Linked DNA regions of Daphnia pulex. The protein of the gene in region 1 purifies or fractionates together with the protein of each later gene. This does not show direct contact. Links are inferred from orthologs where the notes say so. Each region holds a gene or a part of one and is shown on either strand. Other genes may lie near its edges. The genes, in order: ATP-dependent RNA helicase A protein-like; interleukin enhancer-binding factor 2 homolog; endoribonuclease Dcr-1-like; nuclear cap-binding protein subunit 1-like; heterogeneous nuclear ribonucleoprotein A1, A2/B1 homolog; complement component 1 Q subcomponent-binding protein, mitochondrial-like.

The links.
Region 2: the proteins of ATP-dependent RNA helicase A protein-like (region 1) and interleukin enhancer-binding factor 2 homolog fractionate together in Homo sapiens (co-fractionation; 5 studies listed by BioGRID and IntAct, with this or other methods). This does not show direct contact. The link is inferred for Daphnia pulex from reciprocal best matches to the Homo sapiens genes DHX9 and ILF2.
Region 3: the proteins of ATP-dependent RNA helicase A protein-like (region 1) and endoribonuclease Dcr-1-like purify together in Homo sapiens (co-immunoprecipitation; 3 studies listed by BioGRID and IntAct, with this or other methods). This does not show direct contact. The link is inferred for Daphnia pulex from reciprocal best matches to the Homo sapiens genes DHX9 and DICER1.
Region 4: the proteins of ATP-dependent RNA helicase A protein-like (region 1) and nuclear cap-binding protein subunit 1-like purify together in Homo sapiens (co-immunoprecipitation; 3 studies listed by BioGRID and IntAct, with this or other methods). This does not show direct contact. The link is inferred for Daphnia pulex from reciprocal best matches to the Homo sapiens genes DHX9 and NCBP1.
Region 5: the proteins of ATP-dependent RNA helicase A protein-like (region 1) and heterogeneous nuclear ribonucleoprotein A1, A2/B1 homolog purify together in Homo sapiens (affinity purification with mass spectrometry; 4 studies listed by BioGRID and IntAct, with this or other methods). This does not show direct contact. The link is inferred for Daphnia pulex from reciprocal best matches to the Homo sapiens genes DHX9 and HNRNPA2B1.
Region 6: the proteins of ATP-dependent RNA helicase A protein-like (region 1) and complement component 1 Q subcomponent-binding protein, mitochondrial-like purify together in Homo sapiens (affinity purification with mass spectrometry; 3 studies listed by BioGRID and IntAct, with this or other methods). This does not show direct contact. The link is inferred for Daphnia pulex from reciprocal best matches to the Homo sapiens genes DHX9 and C1QBP.

What each region holds. Positions count from the first base shown.
Region 1 is NC_060025.1:4,801,691-4,805,930, reverse strand, and holds the start of ATP-dependent RNA helicase A protein-like, read right to left. Parts: upstream 2,801-4,240; 5' UTR 2,372-2,800; coding exon 2,275-2,371; intron 2,201-2,274; coding exon 2,162-2,200; intron 2,100-2,161; coding exon 1,929-2,099; intron 1,835-1,928; coding exon 1,645-1,834; intron 1,568-1,644; coding exon 1,527-1,567; intron 1,447-1,526; coding exon 1,214-1,446; intron 1,148-1,213; exon of another isoform or gene 1,031-1,147; intron 851-1,030; coding exon 677-850; intron 623-676; coding exon 425-622; intron 360-424; coding exon 99-359; intron 33-98; coding exon 1-32. UniProt on the Homo sapiens protein: Multifunctional ATP-dependent nucleic acid helicase that unwinds DNA and RNA in a 3' to 5' direction and that plays important roles in many processes, such as DNA replication, transcriptional activation, post-transcriptional RNA regulation, mRNA translation and RNA-mediated gene silencing.
Region 2 is NC_060024.1:13,504,772-13,508,502, forward strand, and holds interleukin enhancer-binding factor 2 homolog, read right to left. Parts: upstream 2,421-3,731; 5' UTR 2,269-2,420; intron 2,203-2,268; 5' UTR 2,196-2,202; coding exon 1,866-2,195; intron 1,790-1,865; coding exon 1,621-1,789; intron 1,551-1,620; coding exon 1,370-1,550; intron 1,310-1,369; coding exon 1,189-1,309; intron 1,125-1,188; coding exon 1,013-1,124; intron 946-1,012; coding exon 793-945; intron 731-792; coding exon 561-730; 3' UTR 501-560; downstream 1-500. Other genes in the region: beta-sarcoglycan-like, read left to right, coding at 1-459; (Lyso)-N-acylphosphatidylethanolamine lipase-like, read left to right, coding at 2,978-3,048, 3,113-3,195, 3,260-3,469, 3,533-3,659, 3,719-3,731. UniProt on the Homo sapiens protein: Chromatin-interacting protein that forms a stable heterodimer with interleukin enhancer-binding factor 3/ILF3 and plays a role in several biological processes including transcription, innate immunity or cell growth.
Region 3 is NC_060018.1:8,404,954-8,409,123, forward strand, and holds the start of endoribonuclease Dcr-1-like, read right to left. Parts: upstream 2,801-4,170; 5' UTR 2,666-2,800; coding exon 2,606-2,665; intron 2,505-2,605; coding exon 2,389-2,504; intron 2,331-2,388; coding exon 2,175-2,330; intron 2,108-2,174; coding exon 1,778-2,107; intron 1,664-1,777; coding exon 1,431-1,663; intron 1,336-1,430; coding exon 1,209-1,335; intron 1,141-1,208; coding exon 726-1,140; intron 653-725; coding exon 144-652; intron 86-143; coding exon 1-85. UniProt on the Homo sapiens protein: Double-stranded RNA (dsRNA) endoribonuclease playing a central role in short dsRNA-mediated post-transcriptional gene silencing.
Region 4 is NC_060022.1:6,378,315-6,382,579, forward strand, and holds the start of nuclear cap-binding protein subunit 1-like, read right to left. Parts: upstream 2,801-4,265; 5' UTR 2,677-2,800; coding exon 2,646-2,676; intron 2,581-2,645; coding exon 2,303-2,580; intron 2,248-2,302; coding exon 2,054-2,247; intron 1,987-2,053; coding exon 1,815-1,986; intron 1,755-1,814; coding exon 1,533-1,754; intron 1,473-1,532; coding exon 1,372-1,472; intron 1,311-1,371; coding exon 1,139-1,310; intron 1,075-1,138; coding exon 907-1,074; intron 847-906; coding exon 594-846; intron 535-593; coding exon 401-534; intron 335-400; coding exon 10-334; intron 1-9. Other genes in the region: uncharacterized protein LOC124196162, read right to left, coding at 3,669-3,856, 3,946-4,104, 4,195-4,265. UniProt on the Homo sapiens protein: Component of the cap-binding complex (CBC), which binds cotranscriptionally to the 5'-cap of pre-mRNAs and is involved in various processes such as pre-mRNA splicing, translation regulation, nonsense-mediated mRNA decay, RNA-mediated gene silencing (RNAi) by microRNAs (miRNAs) and mRNA export.
Region 5 is NC_060019.1:11,840,388-11,844,359, forward strand, and holds heterogeneous nuclear ribonucleoprotein A1, A2/B1 homolog, read right to left. Parts: upstream 2,801-3,972; 5' UTR 2,679-2,800; coding exon 2,574-2,678; intron 2,439-2,573; coding exon 2,296-2,438; intron 2,199-2,295; coding exon 2,078-2,198; intron 2,019-2,077; coding exon 1,808-2,018; intron 1,747-1,807; coding exon 1,465-1,746; intron 1,401-1,464; coding exon 1,275-1,400; intron 1,223-1,274; coding exon 1,091-1,222; intron 803-1,090; coding exon 741-802; 3' UTR 715-740; intron 586-714; 3' UTR 33-585; downstream 1-32. Other genes in the region: chromobox protein homolog 1-like, read left to right, coding at 3,417-3,535, 3,602-3,851, 3,923-3,972. UniProt on the Homo sapiens protein: Heterogeneous nuclear ribonucleoprotein (hnRNP) that associates with nascent pre-mRNAs, packaging them into hnRNP particles.
Region 6 is NC_060026.1:13,819,527-13,823,701, reverse strand, and holds complement component 1 Q subcomponent-binding protein, mitochondrial-like, read right to left. Parts: upstream 2,760-4,175; 5' UTR 2,700-2,759; coding exon of another isoform or gene 2,452-2,699; 5' UTR 2,378-2,451; coding exon of another isoform or gene 2,231-2,377; 5' UTR 2,174-2,230; coding exon of another isoform or gene 1,936-2,173; 5' UTR 1,614-1,935; coding exon 1,397-1,613; intron 1,335-1,396; coding exon 1,184-1,334; intron 1,119-1,183; coding exon 919-1,118; intron 862-918; coding exon 773-861; intron 710-772; coding exon 560-709; 3' UTR 501-559; downstream 1-500. Other genes in the region: uncharacterized protein LOC124203752, read left to right, coding at 1,936-2,173, 2,231-2,377, 2,452-2,699, 2,760-3,665, 3,731-4,175.

The DNA.
Region 1 (4,240 bases):
GTATCGCGTTCGTGAACCTCATCAACAATAACCTAGATATTTTAAATAAGCCATTATTTCCGGGCGTTAGTAAATATGGTAAACATCACATAACGTACATGAGATACGCCTTGAAGACCCCGTTCTAATCTCCGGAGAAGTACTCCAACAGTACAGAAGAGGATTGATCCGTATGGACGAGGCAGTGTGCTTTCAAACCGGACGCTAAATCCAACTGATTCTCCCACTTCTTCCCGACGCTCCGACGCTACACGTTCGGCGACGGATATGGCTGAAATTCTTCGTGGTTGCGTTACAATAACAGAACACTGGGCGCCTTCCTTACAACGTAAATAATCGTCCAGAATGTACTGGCATACCTATTTACAGAAAAATTGCTATAAAAATAATTGCATCCTAATTTAACTTGTGGTATCACGCTGACCTGTGTTGTTTTGCCAGAACCCGTATTACCACGAATTACGACGACAGAATTATTGTAAAGAGCATCCATAACATCATTCTTGAAGGCATAAATAGGTAAAGATTTGCGCTCTTCTAGTGCCTTTTGAAAATTCTGATCTGATTGTAAAAGACGCTCTTGTCTCTGCCACAAGTCTTGACTAATCGTATCCAATGAATTCTAAGGGGGAAAAATTATACTGTACATTCAGAACCGAGATAATTTGAATAATACCGTGGCGTAATATCCTCGTTCGATTCTACTAGCGGTCCATGTGTTCCAGTTGGCAGTAGGAGGAGACCACGGAATGTCAATTGACCCATGGCGGGAATCAATATCACCAAGGCGCATAGATTTTGGTGCAAGTCGCTCATCCCACAGAGTTTGCGGTTCGGATAAACCCTGTTTCTAAAATATACCAAAAACTAATCGTGAGCTTTGTTTTCTAAAGCAAAGACTATCGTTTTCTATGATAATTATAAATGTAGATTGAACAACAAAAAAGATCTCGTTCGCAAATAGTACCGCCATTCACAATCTAGTTTCTGGCGCACCAAAGTATAAAGGATTGTAAAACACATTTTACTGTTTGTCCTTATCAAGTGGGAGGCCTATACTCAATGAACGAATGGTGAGAGTATTGCTGCTGAAACCATTAACAACCAACGTACCCGGCAATTCGTCCACGGTACAATTTTTGGAAAGCCCTCCTTACTTAACAGGAGGGCGAAAGAAACCTTATAAAAACTACAATGAAAAAATAATACATACTACTATTTTAGGTAACAGACGGTGTTCCAAAATGGTGCGATTGAGTTCCCTCTCCAATTCATCGCGAACAATGACGGTGAAGGGTCTGGTTTCCAATTGGTTTTTTTTGCTACCACTAACCAGAGACCCAGCCGGTCCGATAAATTTCATTTGGAATAATTGTTGGACGATCGAAAGGGCGCAAGCTTTAGAAGCCAGAACCTTTGTACAAGCTCTTTCACGAGCATATATTTCTAGAATAGATAAACATTTAGAATAGATAAACATTAAGTATTAAAATAAGATAAGTTTAGGGCAAATGATTTCAATTTACCTCTGCCACGGAAGACAAAATGAAGTTCGGCGAAAAAACTCCTGTAAAAATATTTAATTTTTTGTACCTGTCTAGGTTAATTCAAACACGCCCAATTTCAAGCATTAACAATAATTACTTTTGATGATCAGGCCCATAAGATTGGTACACATAATCTGTTTTGATTCTATTTTCCGTTAAAAATGGATGCAGTTTAGCTTTCGCATTTTCTACAGAGTATCCTCCAGGATTGAATGGAGCTGCTTCCCTCCCTAATCGGGAATCTCCATCTGTTCTCTGAACATGTCTTCCACTGATGACTGTGTTACCTTTTCCATGAAATGTTGACATTTTGACAATTCAAACTTTGCTGTGTGTACATGTTATATGTATTAGGATTATTTATCCAAGGAATGTACATACCTGAACATCCATATGGTCCCATTTGTTTTATTATAGTAAGTGTATTCCTATTTGGAATTTCTTCTTCTCTCATGATTTGTTGGCAAACCAAATGTGCAACAAAGCTGTTGGCAGCATTGGCTTGGGCATTTCTTTTCGAACTTGACCTTCCAGTTGCAACAAAACTGAATCCTTGAATGAAAAACCAAAGAAATGTAATTAAAAGAAGATCCACACACTTGTATAGTGCTCACCTCTCACACGCAGCTCACAGTAGTATCCACTCTGATCTCCTGATGACACAGCAAAAATTAAGCAAATCATTAGACCACTGCTGTTTTATTCTAGACTGTAAATATAGGGTTACCCATTGAATTAACGACGTAAACTGGTGGAATTCTAAACTTTTTCATCAGGTAAGCATACAAAAACTCTTTAATATCTCGTTCCCCTTTGTTCTCCATCTTTTCTCAAAAATGTATGTATATCCAAGAATCGTTACAAGTTTGAACCACTAATCACTCTTCAAAACACATTAAATAGTTTGATAACGAATTCCTTCTTAACCGAAAACTACAACTGTCACAAGTGTAGAAAAGATCAAAAGAAAAGAATGCTTTGATTGTTCTCTAGAGTCGTCTGCAAGACTGCAAGCAAGTCAGTGTTTAGGGTTTAGGGCTAAACAGCAGAAGAGAGTGGTGAGTTAACTTCCCTCCCTTCTGCTTCTAGTTCTCCTTCTCGTTCTAGTAGAGTAAAGAAGGAACCACTGCCATGTTAACTCCCCCCTCTCGGAAATTTTCTCAGAGTCGAAGCTGTTCCCAATATCGCGACCGATAAGTGAAAAACGGAGCTAAGATATCGATATTGACACTAACCCTACCTCCGCGTTGCCCTACCCCTCGGCTACTCCCAACACCCTCTATTCCCGCTGCCCTACACACCGCTGTGGCGCCTTTCACGAAGCGTCTGGGCAGGCTTCTAGAGAAAAAAAGGCAATGGCTTTTGGCTTAGGCTTATGGCAATGGCTGAAAATGACAATGAAGGGCTCTCTCATCGCGCTCGCCAAATGAGTGGTTATGCCAGTATTCTATAGAGTCTCCGCTACTAGGCTAGTCTGAACGAGGCCATAATTACCCGCCCTTGTTTCTGATATGATTAAATAGTTAAAAATAGAGGGGGAAATAAAAACATATCACATAAAAAAAAGTATTTTAAAAAATTTATAAAAGGTCGGACCTATTCACCTATAGAGTTATAGAGTTGCAAGGGCGCTGCACCTTAGCCGTCATTGCTACAGATATATCTAATTAAAAACAGGGAGGGAAATAACAGCATGTAATAAGAACAAAATTATTTTTATTCATTTAATAAATAAAAATAAATAAATAAAAAAAGTAAAAAAAAGGTAGGACCTAGAGGAAATTCGCGAGCAAAAGCGAGGGGTCGGATTTTCTGGTCCTATATAGGGATTGCAAATGAACATGCTGAGAAGAAGACCAAAATCCAGAAAAAGCTGCCGAGGCAACACAGGCATACCTAATCAATCAATGTAATTAACCTTGAAAAGAAGGGATAATATCAAATCCCCCCCCCCCCCCGAGCTGGTGTTATATTCTCGGTAACCTGTTGTTACTTGCCAAAAAATCGATTACTGTACAGTTTTCGACTAAGTCGCTAGATGCAGTAACATATGATTGCTTCCGGGGAAGGCTACTAATTTATTGACGAAGGTCTAACACCAGTCTCTCTCAACACAGAAGGTTATAAAAAAAACTAAAATTATACGCTGTCTGTTCCGGGTTGTTCAACAGTTTTTCATTTTTTTTTTTTTTTTAATCGAATCACACAGAGCCTTCTGATGCATTGAGGTATTTTAAGTTTCTTAGGAAAGAGTAGACGAAGCCAGAGCATTCACGCTTTCATTTAGCGGCAGTGGGATAGCCACGTTATCAGTTGCGGGAGCCGGGGCAGCCAGGGCTGGAATAGAAGTCGCTTCACGGGTTCGTTCGTTGGGAAACTGTGAATGGCCCTTTGACCGCCTTTGACTAGAAAATGGTGAGTTCAAGAGCTTTGAAAGCAAGGGCCTCCTTGTCCACCCACAAAGGCACAAACCATCAAGATTCTTTTCTCTGAATTTCTAAACAGTTCAATAAAATTACAGTTTAATAAAATTTACAATTGTCTTCATCATTCTTAAATTGAAATATACCAATTGAGTTTATAAGAAGGCTCCAACGGCAGCTGGTTCATGTCTTGCCACATCCTGTCTTTAAATATCACGTTAATTGAAACGGAAATTTTAAATTTGAAACTGATTATCTGAATTGAAGCCA
Region 2 (3,731 bases), on another chromosome or scaffold:
ACAACCCCAAAGACTAGCGCATTTTCTACAACTTTTCCTAATTTCGGTTTGCCTAAAGGTGTTTTGAACTTACACATCAAGAAAGCCACGGCCAACAGGATTACTAGCAAGTTGGAAGGCTCCTTACTTATCAGATCAGAGAAAGCCATTCGCGTGAAAGGCAAAGAGGGAATGAGGATCCGGGGCAAAGAAGTTGTAATGAGAGCCGACCAGGATCTTCTGTTGCGCAGTATCAATGGAAGCATTATTTTAGACGGATCTGATGGCGTAATAATGGATGTAGACGCCATGGCCGTGACTGGGAGACTCGAAGATCACAACGCAACAAAAGTGGCTGAATACAAGTTGTGCATCTGCATGCCAGCCGGGCAGCTTTTCCGAATCCCTGTTCTTGAAAGCACTGATACAATCAATTGCGATTCCGTTGATCTCACGGGCGATGATAATCCCTGCATTTAACTCTCAATACTCATAACAAATCTGTTTTTTCTAGTCATTAATTGAACCGAACTAGTCATTGTTGTTCACACCGAAAGTCAATACACGGAAACATCAAATCTTTAGATGGCAGAATCGGCTTCTTTCTCTGTTGTAGGGGCTTCAACTTCTTCAACTTCCTCATCTTCGGGTTCCTCGCCGGTTTTCCTATCGTATAGTGTTGAATCGTAGACACTGTCCTGAGGAGTGACGACGATGCCGTTCCATACAGACAATTCAGCAGTAGGGTCCACTAAAGGAAAATTTGGAAAATAAGATTGACGCGTCAATGAATATAATTAAAAGTTGAAATACCATTTTTCTGATCAAGACAGAGAATGGCGTTGTAGCCTCCATGAGAAAGGATCCGTAGGAGATTCTGGGCGGTACGACAAAGTAAGTCTTCCTGTTCCATCGTCATTACCATGTGAACGCGAATGGCTCCCACCTCACAAGGATCAAGTATTCCTAAAGACAAATTGAAATAAGAAATCTCGCATTGGAAAAATGCAAACTATTATCCTTGTCTACTTACCACAAGAGCCCGGGAGAAAGAATCCAGCTGACAAAAGTTGAATGACACGACGGAACGCTAGATTGACGGACAATGCTTGTCGATTAGGGGTGTTGAGTACGCTAAAATGAGCCTGTGATTACAAAAATATCAAGTTAGTAAACTCTGAAAACCAATAAATAGAAACTGAAAGTTACCAGAAGATCGATCATCCATGGGCTCAATGGTTCAAGTCCTTTTATGCGTGTCCTCATATCACGTAATAAGCGAATCAGGACTTTAACTGATGTGTGGTTAACATTTTCTTCGAACCATCGGCTGAATATTAATAAATGTTTAGCGAAACAACCACAGAAGAATTTGAAAGAAAAATGTTACCTGTGTCGGACGGCAGCTAAGTGTGACTGGAGATATTTCATGTCTAGATGCATTGATGAGCTGATGAGCCTAAAGTTGCGGCCGATAGTTGTAATTAAAACTCGAACGACCGCTTTTGTATTTTCAGGCGGAGTCACGCTGAGAATGTTAAAACCTCGGTCAGTTATCTCAAGTTCATGATCTGAAACCAAGTAAACATAATTATTTAGAAGGAATACACTGAATACACTAGTACACCAATAACAACATACTTATTTGTGCTTGTTGCTTCTGCACCTCCTCCAAGATTTTGGCCCCAAGGGAACGAATAGCTTCATGTGTTGGAAGAGTTTTCAAAATGACGACAAGATCAGCCACATTGTGACCGCAGACCATTGTTCCCTTTTTAAAGGATCCAACAATCCTCACTTCTTCCAATTGCTGAAATTAAATTCAAAATCACAATAAGTGGTGGTTACTTGTCAGGCACAAAAAGTCATAAAAAATATGCACTTACGCAAGCTTCAAAGGATCCTGGGGCCACAGTAAGTCCTTCAAGAATCCCCTGTACTTTGAGAAGAAGACACTGAATGGAAGTCTGCTCGTTGGCAGGAGGGACAAGCTCAGCATGCCGTTTCAACAAAGCTTGAGTGAGATCTTTATCATCAGGTTGGGGTTTGAGTCGTGGGTAAAATGATTCAGAAACAAACATATCAAACGGCATTCGAAGGATATGAGGACGAGGTTTAAAGCCGGACATATGATGCATTGGTCTTCCTCCCATCAATATCGGACCGGCCCCACCGCGCCGTAACATACGAGAATTTCGACGAAAATTTCCACGCATGATGATTCTACAAATCAGAGATGTTTGATGGAGACACAAACAACACTAGAGCTCAAATAAAAATACTATCAACCTCGTTTAATAACTTTTGCAAAAGCTACAATAAGACGACCAAATTCAAAGCAGAATCGACCTAGCAGACAACAACATCTACGAAATGTCGAAATGCCACGAAACTCAGCCGGCCGCAGGATGCAGTGGTCATGTGCAGAGCAAACGTAGCCTAGCCGCTGGCAAATAAAAAAAGTGAATAATGTACATATAAAATGTAACCACAAAAAAAATAATTTTAAAATTAATTAAATTTAAATCTCGATGCAATAAATCCAGTATACTGGAGAACTATTTATTGCAAACATTTGCTACTACAGCCATCTATCCACAGCAATAGCCACTTCCATTCAAAATTGGTTTGTTTACAATTTTCAAGTCAGCATTACGTAGCAATCCAATCATCAATAAAGTTGAAGCAGACGAACTCAAGGTGCTGCAGATTTATAAAAGAGAAAGAAAACTGTACGTCCGAAGTTCGTCGAGAGATAACATATTTACAGCACAACGAGCAGATTGTAATACGCTTAAATAGTGTTCGTTCCTTAAAATCTCGTGATTTTTCAACTTTTAAAGGTTTTGTCTAAGCTCGTCAGACAGTCCTTGATTCATTTGCATAAATAGTAGCCACATTCGTTTGGCGGTCTCTACATAGGCCTAGAGTAGGAATAAGCTGTGTCATCCTATTACATAACTATAGTTTTTCTGCTGGGAATACTACAGAGATTGTGATGGAAATAGATCAACAGACTGTTATTGAACAGGTTACTCCTGGAACTGTAGCTGAAGTGGATAATAAGTGGTATGTAAGATACGAAATAAATCATAATTTTAATCTTTAGCCCATTTCATATACTTTTTGATAGTTGGTGGAGTGTAAGCAATTACATCCAGTGGTGTCCAACATCAATGTATCACCTTAAGCGAGCAGAGAGCAGAATTCTGAAAGGTAAAGTTGGCACTTTGCAGTTAGTCACCATATTCACTATTAAATTAACTGTATGATTGTTTAGTTATCAAGACTGCATACGAGGCAAAGTATGTCAATATTGGGAAGTGTGTAGGAGGCACTGAGAACAAAATATGGACCTTGATGCTCAACAAGGATGCAGAAAAAACACCATTGGTAATGCTTCACGGATTTGCTTCGGGTGTTGCATTGTGGTGCCTTAACCTTGATACCCTTGCAAGAGAGAGGCCTGTTTATGCAATAGATCTTTTAGGTAGACATTTTTACATTTTTGTTTAAGATTACAATCGTTTCATATGATGCAATATTATTCCAGGTTTTGGTTCCAGCAGCAGACCACACTTTAGCAGTAATGCCTTAGAAGCTGAGTCTGAAATGGTGAAATCCATTGAAGAGTGGAGAAAGCAAATAGGATTGGAAAAATTTGTGCTGCTTGGTCATAGGTATAAAGCAATACTGATGCAATTATCAAATAGTACTCTGTAATTGTATTTCACTATAGTATGGGAGGGTTT
Region 3 (4,170 bases), on another chromosome or scaffold:
TTCAATTAATTCTCGTTTTATGGTACGTATCCTCCACACAGGGGTTAAGCGTGTGAAACAATCGCTAGGCAACTTTGCGCAATATCTACAACAGAAATTTTTCATGAAACCTAGTTTTACAGAATTAAAAAAGTATGTGATACCTGTTAATTATAGAAATCGCGTTTTGCAAAGATGCATACGAATTAGAAGTTTCATCAGAAGGGTAGGGAGCCTGAATGCAATTAAGCATATCTTCGTTGTGGTTGAAAAACTCAGCAACCGAATTGTGATACCCGCTTTTACTTAACAGAATTTGTTCTGTTGCATGAAAGTGAGATAAATCCACTAAAAACTCATCCATGCGCTCATTTTCGACCATGAGGATGTAATGTGCTTTTTTAGCGCGAGCTCGAGCTTTTGAGTGAACGTAAGCCCGGTAGGATTGTGGTAAATCGTAACGAATAACCAGATGACATGCCGGAACGTCAATTCCATCCTCTAATACGCTAGTGGCTACAAGAATGTTACAATCACGACTACGAAATCGTTTCATGACGTCTTCTTGCTTTCTTTCTTCATTCTCCATTTCTTTGACACTCACGCCTTCCATTCGGTCAACCGTATACAACGGGCTTAGATAAGCTAGTTGTGGATCACAACGACTTGCATCCTATAAAAAAATGTAAATGAATATTCGGCATTAAATATTACATAGCAATACGAGAATTTTGTCGTTGTGGAACCTTTAAAAGATGGTAGAGTAATTTTGCTGTAGTACGTCTTTCAGTGAAAATCATCCCACAGAGCTGGTAAGCATCTTCTCGATTTCGGTGATGGCGATTTGAGAAATCAGGACGCCGCCGTCGACTAGTGTGTCCTGGTTGAGTTGTCGATTGACGCAAAATCGCTGGACCGTTTTCAATTAATTCTGCGGTTTGCGACGTTTCGGTTGCCAACTTTGGGGTCTGAACAGTTTGCCCTTCGGACGAAACTAAAGAATCGCTTACTTCTACTAATTCAGCACTTGTGGGCAGCACGGAAGGTATCGGCGGTCGGTAGATCCGAAGAATGTCCAACAGGCGAAGAACCTTGGGATGGCTAAACTTCACGATACGTTCATATTCAGAGTATTTCTGAAACTCTTCTTCGCACAATGATCTAGAAAGTAAATATATATATATCATGTATACAAAGTACGTTGAAATGTGTACTTTAAAAGCGCAAACCTTATTTCAAGTAAAACAGTGAAGACAAGGCATAATAGAAGATAGTGTCTTTCATAAACTGCTTTCGTTTTCAATTTTTCTAAATGAATGAGGTATACCAAAGCAGCACGGTCTGCTCCCCAAGGACCTAGGTCAATTATATTGTATTAATTTTTAAAATCGTCTAACGTAAACTTCTAAAAATAAATAAAAAAACTTATAAAAATATTTGTGATTATTCACCAAAATTTTGAATGATTTGGATGTATTCTTCAAGTAGATCAAGAGGTTCATGACATGGATTAGGAATCTCTTTTAGATAATCTTGTTCCCCATAGTACTCAGCGGGATCATATCGATGATCTCGCAGATAATCATTCAATAAAAGAATACGACCCATTATTTCTTGCTGCAGCTCTGTGGCTTCATACTTGGACGATATTTCACATATCAATTCTTTGGGTCGAGTTGAATGCCTAGATTAAATAAAACATTAGAAGAGTTAATTTTCCACAAAAGTAGTCAGCAAGCAGATAGCATATTGGACTTCATCATGCCCACACTAAATGAATTAATCACCATATACTTACTGCAAGGCTGACAAAACGTTGTTGGAAGTCGAAATAACCGATTTTAATTTTGTTTCCAGAATAGTTATCAACTGAGACAGTTCCATCGGCTTGCATATGTTATTTACAATAGATGCAGTTAATCCAAGGATTCTTGGATGTACACTACTTGCTGCATTTTCATAGAGAGTTAAAACTCCTTTTAAAGCTTCATTGTTCATAACATTATGGCAGTCATCCAATATCAACAAATTAAGCTTGTTCATTTTGAGAAAGTTTTTGTGGATGACTTCTAGAAATATGGAATATGTCATGACAAGCACCTGACTTTTCCCCAACTCCTCTGTCCATCTTGAATAATACATATTAAGTGTTTTACAGTTAATTTTATCCATAAAATACTTCTATAAAAATTTACCTTTCAGAACTCCACTGCAATACACCTTTTTTCTCATGAAAAATTCCTACTTTCAATGGAGTGTGATGGCGCAAGTAAGCTGAACGCTGAAGTGCCAATTTGATTGTTGGGGTAAGGTAAACTGAGCAAAAACCTCCCTTGGGTAAGAGCAGAGAACTAATTAAAACAGTAAGTAAATTAATGAGTTAAAATTTTACATCACTTCATAACTTACTTGCACACTTCAAAAGCTTTTTCTCGAATTAACATTACAGCAATGAACATCTTACCCAAGTCAGCTTTTAAACATGCAATAGTATTTTTAACTTTTGCAGATTCAAAAAGTTCAACCTAAAAAAATGTATAAACAATATTTCTTAACTAAACATGGCAATCAAATATAAATTTGTTAAAGAATAAGTCTAACAATAGTATGGAAATCCTATACAAACCTCAAAATCTCTTGGAGTAAAATTATCATTTGATGATAAATCCATCATTTGAGGTAACATTTTAGCGAATAAAACGAATGGACATAAGAGGAAACTCGAGAAAATTTCTGAAGCTTAGTAACAACTTAAGAACATCAGAACTCAGATGTAAAAAGTTTTTTGTTTACAGGTTTACAGCATGAGGATGACTTAAACAACGATGCCATATTAAAATATCACATGGCCGTGAAACTCCCTTTTGCAGGGTTAACCGGGGGGTTGATTTAACCCTGAAGGGGAATTTTGCTTCATCTAGCGAGGAAAAGACACACATATTTAAATCATTACTTTGTCTGATTGTTTATTAAAGAATGTATAGTTGTATACGATGTTAGATATCATCGGTAACTCTACAGCATACAAGCATATAAACCTAAATCATACGTAGATTTTTTCATATATAATCATTTAATTGTTTTTTAGTATTCTAGATATGTCGAACAATACGGAATTGTTGGTGTTCGCGCTTGCAAGATGATGGGGCCTAACGGCCTTCGTTATGTTATCGTCAGCATCACGCATCACCATGGGTTTTCATTCCCCACATCTACTTTAAATTTTTATTAATTATAGTGTTCTTGTTATTATACATCCATTTCAGTTTTCTCTCGTTCTGCGAATTTTAACGTTTTATAACAGAAATGTGAATTCGACGACTGCCGACTGCGGAGCACCTGGTCGCTGTAATTGAGGTTGGTGTGGTCAGTCTGAGGAGGACGTGTGAACGTTGTAGTTGTATGCCTACCGATCGGATTCAGCTGAAGCCGAGATCGGTCGCTAAGATAATGCAAATAAAAATGAACAAGGCAACTTGGATACAATTTTATGTGTCATTGATCGTGAGATGAAAATGAACTGTAGGACTGTAGATCTCTATCATTGGTTTCCTGTTTTTAATTTAATTTTTAATTCATTTTAACGAGTGCTTTTTTTTTCTCTTGTCTTTCCAAGAATAGTTTAGTCAAAATACCGATGACAATCATATCAATCATTTCTGAATATTTTGGGTTAAAGTCACAATCGGGTTGGATTAAGAAAAATCCGGTTTCAACATTTTTGGATAACAACGATACAAGGGCAATCACCCAACTGTCTATTGGTGCAGCAACAAAATCCCAAAGGCGGACACCCATTGGCCTTTTTTTAAATAATAATACACTAGTCGCTAGATAAGAATAGCTAAGGCTAGGAAAATAAACCAATTAATGTGTAAAATAACTTATGATAACTCTAGTAATCTCGACCGCAGAAAGATCATTCACCATAACTAGACTGTTCATTGTTTTCCATTTTTCAACAGCGTTTTCACGTGTTACGCACCCCTATAAGTTTTCTGGTTCAAGCAGCGGTTTTCAAATTTTTAATATACCTTCACATTGCCTTCCACACACTACGGTTGCTTAAACCGAAAAATGTAACATAGTAGGAATGTTGTTAAAGCCATCTCTGGTTAAAGCATATTACGCAGTTTAAAGGTCACATTTTACAACAACCCATTATATTTAAGACCTTGCTAAAATTCTATA
Region 4 (4,265 bases), on another chromosome or scaffold:
TGTTCGCACCTCTAGATGGATCTTCATCAGATGATTCCGAATCAGATGGTGCAGCTCTGAGTTTAGCGCGTGCATCCGCCACCTCTTTCTCTAGACGGACGACGTGTTTGTTCATTTTGCGAATAGTCAAGTGCAAGACCTCCCAAATGTACGAACGAGTGAACTCGGGTGCCATGTCTCGTGAAAAGATCCAATTTGCTACGGCACAACACTCAACAATTTGTGTCTTTAACATCTTATCAACTACCACTCCTAAAAATTGTGGGTGGTGTTGCCAGAGCTCATAAACTTGACGAAGCATACAGATCTGTGCCTCTTCATTCTCACAAATATTCTATGACAGAAACGTAAAATTGAATCGTTTTATACTATCGATAACATTTCAATCTGTTGAAAATACCTTGAAGACTGAATGATATTTAGCGAGACCTGCAAAAGTATGCGTAAAACTCTTCGATCCCAAATGTAGCAGAGTCTGAACAAATACTTCAATTGCTAGAGGATTGTGTGAAGGCTCCATATCCCCGTCGTCATCTAATTACAATTGCATCAAAATGGCTTGAAGTTATACATATTGTATCCACCATATTTACCTTTGAGAGGATTCGGTAGTTGCTGGACCAACTCTAGTACTTCTTCAGGCGTTGGCTTTTTTCTTAGGAGCTCAGTCAAAGTCTGGACTTGAGCAGCCCCAGGAAAACCATTTCCTCCTTCAATTTGGTATTTAAAGTACGGTTCTGGTTTCGGGGGCAACAGCGGTGAGTAACATTCAGGCACCATTTCAGTCACGCGCTTGTGATAGGAGAGTCTCAAACATTTCCCGAACACTTCAGAAACAAATTTTGCCTGAAATTTAAGTGTTCCTTTAGATAGATTTCGAAAAATTTCATTTTTTTAAACATTTACCTTGGGGTGGTCTTTTTCGAGTGAAAGACAATTCTGCCAGTCATCCCAACTCCAGCGGAATTGAAAGTTACTGAGATGGTAAGAAAACCAAGAAACGAATCTATCAAAGCAGGTGGCATTCATGGTATCAATTCTTTCGTAAAGCAACTCCGTAGCCTGTGCTAACACCTGGTTGTGAAATAAAAAGTCAAATGAAAATGTTCAAGTTTCTACTGTAAGATCATATTTTCACCTGAGGCATTGTACTTGGTTGAAGCTTGCAAAGTTCTATCAAAGTACAACCATAAGCAATCTCCAAGTAACGAGGGGAAGGCATTTGGAAAAGTTCTGAGAAGAGAACTTCAACTATCATGTATTCCAAAGGGATCTTATTTCTCTGTGGGAACGCCAACAATTGGGTGGCTCTGAAAAGCAAAATTAATTTACTATTATCTGCACAAACGTTTCTGTCAAGTTGAAACTCACAGTTCCTTGCGTTCGTTATGATGACGAGTGATGATCTGGTGTAAATGTTCCTCAATCAAGTAACGCTCTACTGAATGAGTTCCTGGTAAAAGTGGACCAGCCTGAAAATGAGTCCCGAGTTAAATACGCACGATACACACTTTTGAAAGCGTTTAACTTACTTCTGGACAGTCAGTGTAATCAAACATCCTGAAAACAACCCATGGTAGCGGATATTGCGTACTAGCTGTGTGAGGCGGAGGTAGAATGACCGGGAGATTGTGTTGCAAAGCTTCAGAGAGGATAGAATCAAAAGCTAAATATGGACGGTAAATGTGTCTTTCCTGCCACTCGTCTGTCCGCAATTTCCGTACTTGAGCCCAAAGACATTCCAGGTATTCTTCCTAGAAAGAACGTTTTTCGAAATTTTTCAATTATTATTAAAATGCCATGCCATTTCTGACCTGTGGGTGCGGAGTTTCACAATTCCAAACTCGAAGAGCAGCGACATGAGCAGTATTTCTTCTGCGAAGATAACCTTCCATTGCTGCCATTATACGTTCAAGATCATTTTCTTTCTTTTCAAAAAGCTCTCGACCAACCCAAGGAAGCGCCGTCAACAACGCATACATGTACCTGTAAATTGATACAGTGTTGTGATCTACATTACTCTTGCTTTAGAATAAAACAAAAATTTAATTACCAGTCTCGTCGAACCTGAGGAACTCCTTGTTCCATGGCAGCGTCAATAAAACTGTCATATAACTGTAGCAAGGAAGAGGCAGAGACTATGTGACAGTTGACCATGTCAGATATGAAACGTACAATTAAACGAGCAGATTCCCATTGCCCCTCACGGAGAGCTTCTTTTAGGTTTCTCACTATTTGTTCCACAAACTAAAAAAAGATATACTTGTATCTTAAAAACTGAAAGTACAATTTTAAAACAAACCTCTCCTCCAAAATTATAGTTTTTAGCATTCAGAAGACCAACTAATGTGCTGTAGATAGTACATTTCTCTGGCATTTGGATTGGGCATTCCGACAAAATACGTAATATTTTACTCTTGTACGTGTTCAAATCAGCTTCTAATACTGAAGCAAGCCCTTCTAAATTGCTTTCTAAAGATGATGACGTTTTGTCTCCAACCCTGATAATAAGAGATTCTAACCGGTCTTCAATTTCTGCCTGCTCCGAGACAACTCTGCGCCTTTTACGATACCCATGTTCTGTAATTTTAAACAAATAACTTTTTATAATGTCATCAAATTCTTCAATAAGTTGTAATCCTTACCATATCCATCATCACGTTTCCTACGACTCATTCTTTGATTTTATTTTAAATTGGTCTACGACGCTTACAAGACAGACAAACTACTACCACCCTGTTTGACTGTTTGTCATATGGAGCTATTAAAGAAGCTGTTAATTTGACGCCATCTATTGATGAAATCATAAACTTCGATGATCGTGAAAATAGTTTACATAACTTGACAACGTAGCTGTAAAAATTGTTTATTTTAGGCAACGCAATTTGGCGCAAAAATTCAATTCAGTTTATATTCAGCTGAATTGAATTAAATTCACGCAAAAATGGGATTTGTTGAATTCAATTTAGGTGAAATTGGCTACGAATGTCGGACGATTCGGCAAAAACCATTTCGGCAAATCGCCGAAAACCGTTTCGGCAAAGTTGCCGAATTGTCACCTATGAAATTACCGATTCGGCAAAAGTCGATTCGGCAACTGTGCAAATGTAAATTGGCGGCAAATACTGTGGAACCCAATTAACCCCACAACGTTAGCTAGGGCTGTAAATCGGGTAAAAGCAAAGCGCACTGCTAAAAACCCAATTGATCTTTTTTTTCAAATCAAAATGGACTTAATGCCCACTTCGTTTTTTAAAGGAGAAGTTGTAGTTGGTTCTAAACGTCATTTAATTTTCATGACTGACGAACAACTAGCGCTTTTGAAAACTGCCGTTCGATGGTATGCCGACGGAACCTTTAAAATAATAAACTTCCCTTTCACTCAACTATTTTCCCTCCATGGTTTTCTAAAAAAGAATGGGCAGTTAAAGCAGGTTCCACTTTGTTTTGTGTTTATGTCGGGAAGGGCTCAAAGATCTCTCGGGAAAGACAGTATAATTCGCGTGTTGGTGGTGGCGCTGATTACCCGAAACCCACACAGCTAGCGCCACTGGCCTTACAACGGCATTTTAAACAATTTTGCCGAATTGGCTTTTTACCGAATTGGTATGTACGATTCGGGAAAATAACAAAGTCAACCAATTCGGCAAAAACCAATTCGGCAAACGTCAAATTTGCCGAATCGTCCGTATACCTTGGCTACAATTCACAACTTGGCTCGTAGTGCAAACTGTGGATGGAATGGAACGAACATCAGCTTGATGAGCGGCATTGATTAAGCCTGCAGGATTGCTTGACACACAATAACTGTCATCCGTTGAACTAGTGGATAGGCCTACAGATTCCGCTGCATTGACTACAATACAAAAAGAAATGATTAAAACGAAGAGTGAATAATAAAATTAATGGTGAATGGAAGTATGCTAACAACCACATGAGCCATACCTGGTAAAGAATTGTTCGTACTTGAGTCTCTTGTACGTGTGCTCTCGGCCCGTTTACGGCCCGCATTCACACTTTTCTCCACAGCAGGATTTGTTGTTGATGGGACACTACTGTTATTCACTGAACTGGTGGATAAAGATTCCGCTGCAATGACTACAACTTGAATACAAAAAGAAATGATGAACAATGAAGAGTGAATAATAAAATTAACGATGAATGGAAGTCTGCTAACAACCACATGAGCCATACCTGGTAAAGAATTGTTTGTGCTTAATCTTTCACCATTTCCCTGGCTGTCACAGAACCCTTTTTCAGTTTCT
Region 5 (3,972 bases), on another chromosome or scaffold:
GTAAAAACAAATAATGCACAATAACAGCAGAATGGGATCGATGAAGTGTATTGATGATGAAAATCAAAAATTGAGTGATTTAGATTTAAAATTCTCGCGATTCGGCGCACACCTACACGTATTTGACATGTGTCCAATATGATTGGGAGAGAAAATCAATGGTCGGAGAGCTAATCGCCAATAATTAAGCCAACGAGACGATAAGCTAAGCAACTACACATCCATTTAGTTGTAAAAAAAGGGATAACTCAAACACGTGGGTGTTAAAAAAAAACTGAAGAAAAAAAAATGTAGTTCACATGTAGAAAATGAAGAAAACGACGTTAAGATCCATTTACGAGAAGGGGAGGGGACAAGGTGGCAGTTGGCGACGAAATCTATATCACACTGCCTGAATCTTGCATTCTAAGTGTCGATCGAAGCTGCTATCCTGTCCGAGGTTTAGGATGTTTTCGCTAAGCGTTAGCGGCCTTGTTCGGTACTGCTGGTTGGCTGATAGTTGTAACTGCCTTCACTTAATTGATGAATCTTGGACCTGGCTCACTGCTCCTGTTCTGGTTTGGCTACAGAACAACATGACGACACCTAGGAGATGAAACGCACATCTTATCCTAACCTGTCTCCTTCCAACATTCTTTATCTCTTCAGATTGCGGCTCAACTTGTCCCTATGAAACGGGCTAGAAGGCCTGATGGTAATAAACCTCAAACTTACCTAGAGGGGAAGATGGGACTTGTCTACTAATAACGTCGCGAACCCCCGTAACTGGGGCTACCTGTAAAGCCACCACCTCGCCCTGCACCTTTTGAATCAGAAACAGATTAGATCACCTGTCAATCCGATTTCATGGAATCATAACTGCAAGGCCTTTAAATTCTCGATATTTCATCAAGCACAGAAATTTGCAACTGCATGACACATTCACATTACTAAACGCATCCCTACTCGGCTTTTCATTTCTGATTCTAGCCTTTACATTCAATTCTTCCTTGTCCAGTGAAATTGTGCTCAATGACGAGGAAGTTTTTACTTTCAATAGGAATCTAAAAAAAAGTTAGAAAATGAGTTCAAATAGTTAAGACAACTTTACCTCCATAGTCGCGAGTGTATGGCACTGATCGTTCGGTTACGTAGCTATTTCTCACTGGACCGCCTCCTTGGTTGAAATCTCTCATGTTCCCTCCATAGCCATTGTCATAATCACCACCCCATGAGTTACCACCTAAAAGTTATATTTTAATTAATGTTCAAAATATTGATAAAGAAATACATACCTGAGCTTGTTCCATAACCTGGGGAACCACCACTCCAACCAGCGCCACTACTTTGATTGCCACCCCAGTTCGAACCTTCCCATTGTCCATTACCATAATCTCCACCGCGACCTCCACCATTTCCTCCTAGTTAAAGAGTAGATAAATAGATTAAAAAGTGATAATAAGTCAATTTTATTTAAAAACTTACCTCGATAACTACTAGATCCTCCACCAACCCAATGATCTCCATTGCTCCAGCCCCCACCAGAACCTCCTCCGTTGCTCCATGAATCCCGTCGTTCCCACAAATCCCCGCCTCTGTCGGCGTTTCGGTCACCTCGGCCGCTATCTCGATACCCGCGGTAATCACCACGACCTGAAGGTGACGATCCAGGAGAAGGACCGCCACGCTTCATCTTATCCATATCAGCTTTGCTGATAGCTTTTTTAACATCTAAATGTCTTCCTTTAACAGTGTGGTCACGAATCACTAGAACACACAAGATTTTTTTAGTTACAAGATACCAGAAAAATGTAGGCCATGTACTTACAAACAACTTTGTCAACTGGATCATAATCATCAAATTCAACAAATGCAAAACCTCTTTTCTTGTTGGTTTCTTTTTCTGTAACAACATTCACTGAGGCGATTGGACCAAATGTTGAAAAGTACTTTTGCAAGTCCTCTTCTTCAACATCATCCCTCAGACCACCAACAAAAAGTTTTTTGACAGTTGAGCTTGCTTCAGGTTTGCCTATCAACTATTTAAGAAAATGTTAGACAAATATTTAGAATAGAATCAATAGTAAGACAAACTAACATCTCTAGGGACAGCACGCTTTGGCTCAACCTCTCTGCCATCTACTCTGTGAGGTCTTGCTGCTTGGGCTTCATCTACCATGAAAGCTCGGGCATATGTTACAAATCCAAAACCACGAGACCTGAAAGAATCATTACCCCAAATTAATTTTCATTTTAACATTAAGAACACTTTATCAAAATAGCATTCCAAGGTATGAAAGACTGGTATCAACTTACTTCCTCGTCTTGGGGTCCTTCATTACAACAACATCCACAATCTGGCCCCATTGTTCAAAATGTTTTTTCAGGGATTCATCAGTTGTGCGATAGTCAAGTCCACCAATGAACAACTTTCGAAACTGCTCAGCTTCAGGTTTCTCCTACAAATCAAATAGAATGTTTGTGTCATTTAAATAAACAAGGAACTTAAAACTACGTTTCACAATACGTCAAGGGTCGCAAAACTAGGGGTTCCATCATCAGCAATTTTATTTATTAATAAAGCAAAATCTAACCTTAACGGTGTGTTGTTCTGTTGCTGGTGGTTTAGTTTCTCGTTCTTCTTCTTCAACGACCGGCTCAGGCTGTTGCTGCTGTTGTTCTTCGGTTTCGGATTTCATTTTTCGACTAACCAACGTGTAACACAAGTACGCCGGGATTGCTCACTTCTTCTTCTTATGCTTTGATCAAAGCGTCATCCAGCAAAGTCGGAAGGGAAGGAACAATGTTGCCAAATTTTGTCTCGATTGCAACGTTGCCAAGTTGTACGATTTCCCAACAGCAATCAGTATTTATTTTATTATTTTTTTCTTCTAATTTGATTATGTTTTATAAAAACAACTAGAATAAATAGCTGGAAAAATTTAGAATTTGTTCTTGTATCTTTTGGACCACTTAATATTTTTATCAATAATTATTTTATTTTTTTTATTAAGTGCAAATTTGGCGCCCTTTTCTCGCTCTCCTTTTTTCCCCTTAGAGTCATGGTTTCCTACTAAACGCATTTCTTGTCGGTTTGTTACAGACTTTTCAACGTTTTTTATCACGCGAATTAAGTTAAGGTAATTGAGTTTGGTTCCATCAGCCACAAAATATTTTTGAATGCCCAGAAAACTACACTTATTTCATATCATTTGCCCATGCCAAAATAATCTATTATATTTATTATATTCGATTGTGGCGGTGAGAAACGTCTATGTAACCAAGCTCGTGATTAATCCCCTCAACAAAAATGTCTATTTCTCGTGTGATCAGACTCCACTGTGGCCGTGATATATAATCTTTTTATCTGTTTATTTGCAGATAAGTCAGCTCTTTTAGAAATTAGTATTTGTGAAAAAAGCTACACAATTTCCAACATGGGCCGAAGCACAAAAGGGAAAGAGAAAGAAGTTTTGGATGAACAAACTCCTGCTACTCCAGCAACAGAAAGTCCTGCTGAAGAGGAATACTCTGTTGAAAAAGTTATGGATAGAAGGTATATATAAATATTTATATTGTCGTTGATCATTATTGACCAACAAATGTCATCTATCAAATTCAGAGTACGAAATGGCCGAGTTGAATATCTCCTAAAGTGGAAAGGCTACGATGATGATGACAATACCTGGGAACCTGAGGAAAACCTAGACTGCCCTGCTTTGATTTCAGAATTTGAGGAAAAAAGAAAAGAAAAGGAAAAGGAAAAAAAGAAAGAAATTGACAAAAAAGAGAAAAAGCGTTCACTCCCAATTGAAGAACGTGACAAAAAAACCACAGAAGAAAAAAGACCAGCAAAGAAGAAGACTTCGGAGGTTTGTGGAATTTCACGACAATAAGTTGGCTTTGGTTATGATCATTTATACGTTTTATTTGTGACTTCCAGGAAGAAAATCGTCCAAGAGGGTTTGAACGAGGACTTGACCCCGAAAAGAT
Region 6 (4,175 bases), on another chromosome or scaffold:
TTTCAATCAAGAAAAGTGCTCTAATTTGTTAATGATCTCTGCTTATCCTGCCCAATCTTCATCTACAGTTCAAAGGTACAAGTGTGGGACACACAAAGCTCTTAAAGTATGTTAATTGATTATTGTATTTTTATTTTTCTAGGTTAAATTTGTACCATGAATAGTGTAAGTGAAGCCTGTAGCCAATTGAAGCAAAATTATGATGCATGTTTCAACACATGGTTCACAGAAAAATTCTTAAGAGGGGATCATTCAACAGACTCATGTGGTCCTTTCTTTAAGGTGTATCGTGAATGTGTTAGGGTAAGTTAATTTTGGTCCAACATTTCTGTCTTTTATAGATGTTTATCTACTCTTTTCTGTTTTAGAAAGCAATCCAGGAACAGAATATTGACCTTAAAGAAATAGAAAAAGAAGTAATGGGGACTGAAAATGAATTTAAGACCCCTGATGGTTCTAAATAACCATTGTTTTGGAAAACCATAAATAATAAATCAGCATTTTAAACAAAATGACTACATAGCTTTTTATTTTTCATCTCAAAACTATTCTAAACCTTTCATTTGCCTTGGACAAAAGACTGAAGGCTCTCTAACAAATTAATAAATAGATGGTGTTCCCGCTTGGTAGCTAGATCGCTCAGCTTTTCAGCAAATTCGTTGGATACTCCTCGTTCTTCGAGCAGATTCATCAGAAGGTCGTACATGTACTATAACGAAAATGTGAAATATCAGTTTAATTTGGTTAAAATATTGTTGACTTTAAAATATACCCCATCAAGAATGTCTCCAGCGACAGCATAAGTCTGATCATTATGTTTGTCCTCATATACTGCAAGTTCATCAATAGTGAAAATGTCATCTGAAAAAATCGAGTGTTATTTATATTGTTGGCTATTCAAATACAATTAACACTTACTTGGGGCATCTTCAACAGGCTCTCCTGCATCTTGAATGTAACTGCAGGCAAATCTGGTTACTTGATTTCCCTTCATTAGTTTGACTTCAAAGTGTGGTTTTGATTTCATTTCAGCCTGGGGAGGATTGTCAGCTTTGTTGTCAACTTCCTCACTGATGTCAGCATCAACAGAATGGTTGACGTTAACTGTTATCTCAATTCTGTTTAATGAATAAAATTAAGCCACAAGTTTCAATTTAGAATTGTCCCATAAAGATTTACTCACTGTTCATCATTAAATTTCTTAGACAATACTATCTCTGAACCATTGTGTTTAACATCAAATCCATCCAAGTTAGCGACAGGCCTGGCTTTGCTCATTCCCTTCTTCTCAGCAGCAATTTCCTCTGAGAGGAACTCAATCAGCTCTTTGTCCCCTATGATGCAACATATATTATGCTGTATTTAAATGTGACGTGAAATGGTTAAAATGTATTACCTCTTGTATGAACTCCTCTGCATTCTCCACATGGGCAGGAAGGGCTCAGGGGAGTATGTTTGAATGCTGGAGAAAGTTTTGTTGGGACAAATTGATTTGTGGGATTAGACATGTACCACAAAGACCTGGTAATGGGTTTCGACAGGATAGACCTCATGGACGCCGGTAACGCATGGCGTGAAACGTTTCGAACGACATTTATCACCGAAAATGACATTATGGGAATGAGATTTTGAACTTTAACAGAGTCTTACAAATTGAGATTTTAAAGAATGAATAGAGCGAACGAAGATGAACTTTATCAGCGAATTAAATAATAATTCTGCAAGGGACTGTGGTGCAAGAGCAAGACTGCAAGTTAAGACAAGAATCTTCTGGCAAAAGCAGAAGCCACGAGGAAATATATCGATTATCGAGTTTTTTCCACTATCGATTAATTGTTGTGGGTTTTTGTTTACAACTTAAACTGAACTCAAACTCCCTCCGAAACTGTGAAAACAATAAAAGGAATATTTAGTTAATATTCAATCGTCTTTAAGATGGGACCTCGTAACAGATGTTTTCTGAGTCCATATTGCACATCTGTTACATCGGGTAACGGAAATGAAAAATACTTTAGTATGCCAAGTATCCCAAAGGTAAAAGCTGGGCCTATGTGTGAATTGACAAAACAATTAATCCAAAAGAGACGTTCTTTGTGGTTGAAAGCATTGGGTCTTACTGAAGCTGATACGGAAAGAGAACCAATTTTAGTTTGCTCAAAACATTTTGTATCAGGTATGTTAGATAGAATATGTGTGAAAATAATTTGATCATATTTCAATATCTATATAGGTAAACCTGATGTAGGTGTGGATTGGGTGCCAAGTTTAAACATTCCGATTCCAAAAATCATACCTGTTCCACCCCCCACAGAAGAGCACAGTTACTGTCAGTCAACAGTGCCACCAACTGCTTACCAATGGAAGACAACTGTTTCAGGTACGATAGTGTCTAAGTCATTATCACCTTTTTCAACCTTTGCTTTGACTACAATGTTGTAAATTCATGTATAGTTAAAAAAAAAAGATTATTGAGTCAGAGGCGTAGTCGTCGTCTACCAATACTTAAAAAGAAAAAAGAGAAGGCTATTGAAAAAGCCACGAAAGCAGAGAAAAAAGCCAAAGACATCGAGGTAAAAATTCGAGAAAAGAAATGGAAGAAAAAGAGACTTGCCATAAAAAAGGCAAAAAGAGAAGCAAAAATTAAAATAGCAGAGAGAGAAGCAGCTCTTTTATTAAGAAAGAATAATAAAAAAAACAAGGTATAGACAATTTTTTGTTACCTAGAACTTCACCAAATAATAACAATGTTTAAAAATCAGGTGCTGCCTGAACCAAATGCAAATCAAATTGAATCAATCGATATGCAACTACCCTCTGCTGAGGATCATTTCGACACGTCGTTTACGCGAATAAGTGAAATTAGTAAACAGTTCAACACATCAGGAAATGACTCCATCACAACCGAAGTTAAAGATATGTCGAATACTCTACCGCCTGTATCAAGCATTTCACCAACAGTATCCAACGGTCATCTGATAATTTCCGGACCATCCGCTCAACAACAACACGTCGAGGCAAATTTGGTTGTTGCGTCTACGGATAAAGTTACCCCTTTGGCACCATCTGTTTCAAAGAACGAATTTCTGCAGCTTTTATCGTTAAGTCAAATCGGTCAAGGTTCAGGAAGAAAATCGACGCCTGTCAAAATTGCGCCAAAAAGCAGAGATAGCAATGCTCCTAAAAGAGTAACTGAACCATTGAAAAACACCGTGAAACTTCCCTCCAAGATTTTGATTGTGAGAAAAGATGCATTTGATAAAACTTCGAGAACCGTGATAACGCTAAAGTCATCATTAAATACTCCGCCTCACATCGTACAAAAGAATGTTGGAAAGATTGTACAGCAAATCCAAGCTCCTCCTTCTTCCACGACACTCCAGCAACAACCAAAACTCGCGGGAAACTCGACTCCGACTATTAAGTGTAAAGCTTTTTCTTCAACAGATCCAGCCCTCAAAACCAACGTAGCTGAACCATTAAAAATGCTACAACCTGCTGCCAAGACTTTGATTCTGAAAAAAGGTGAACCTGCTAAAACTTCACCAACTGTTGCAGCACAAACAAAATCTGCAAACCCTTCCTGTCCTGTATTGCCAAAAAATACGGAGGTCGTATCTCGAATGGAAATGATGGAACCATCATCGCCAGCTCCTCAAAATGGACTAGTAATTTATTACTGTAGTTGCCTCAGTATTTCTTTGCGATTTTTAACGATTTGGTTTTTCTTTAGATATCTCAAAATCTGCACAACATCGATACTTACATCCGAGACCTGATGCTTAAAAAGAACCCCACCGCTCAGGACACTAATCTGAGTTCTTTATTGCTGAATCTAATTAATCATCACCAGAAGAACATTTTGGATTCGGGAAAACCAGCTGCTCAAGCCCAAGCCCAAGCTTCAACTGCTCGAGTCACTCGCGATAGTGCAAACCACGAAGTTGTAGACCTAACTAAGGACGACTGTGACTATATTCTCCCCGATGTTGCTGCCCCAAACAATTTACGCCCAACTTGCAATTGTCGCAACTCCGTTGAGGAAGTAACCTCTTTGAGATACCAACTAGAACAAAAATCAGTTGCATTGAAGGCTTGTAACAGCGATATAGATAATCTGAAGAAAGAGCTTTGCGAGGCAAAGGAGTACATAAGTAATCTGGCAGCACAATTGCAAG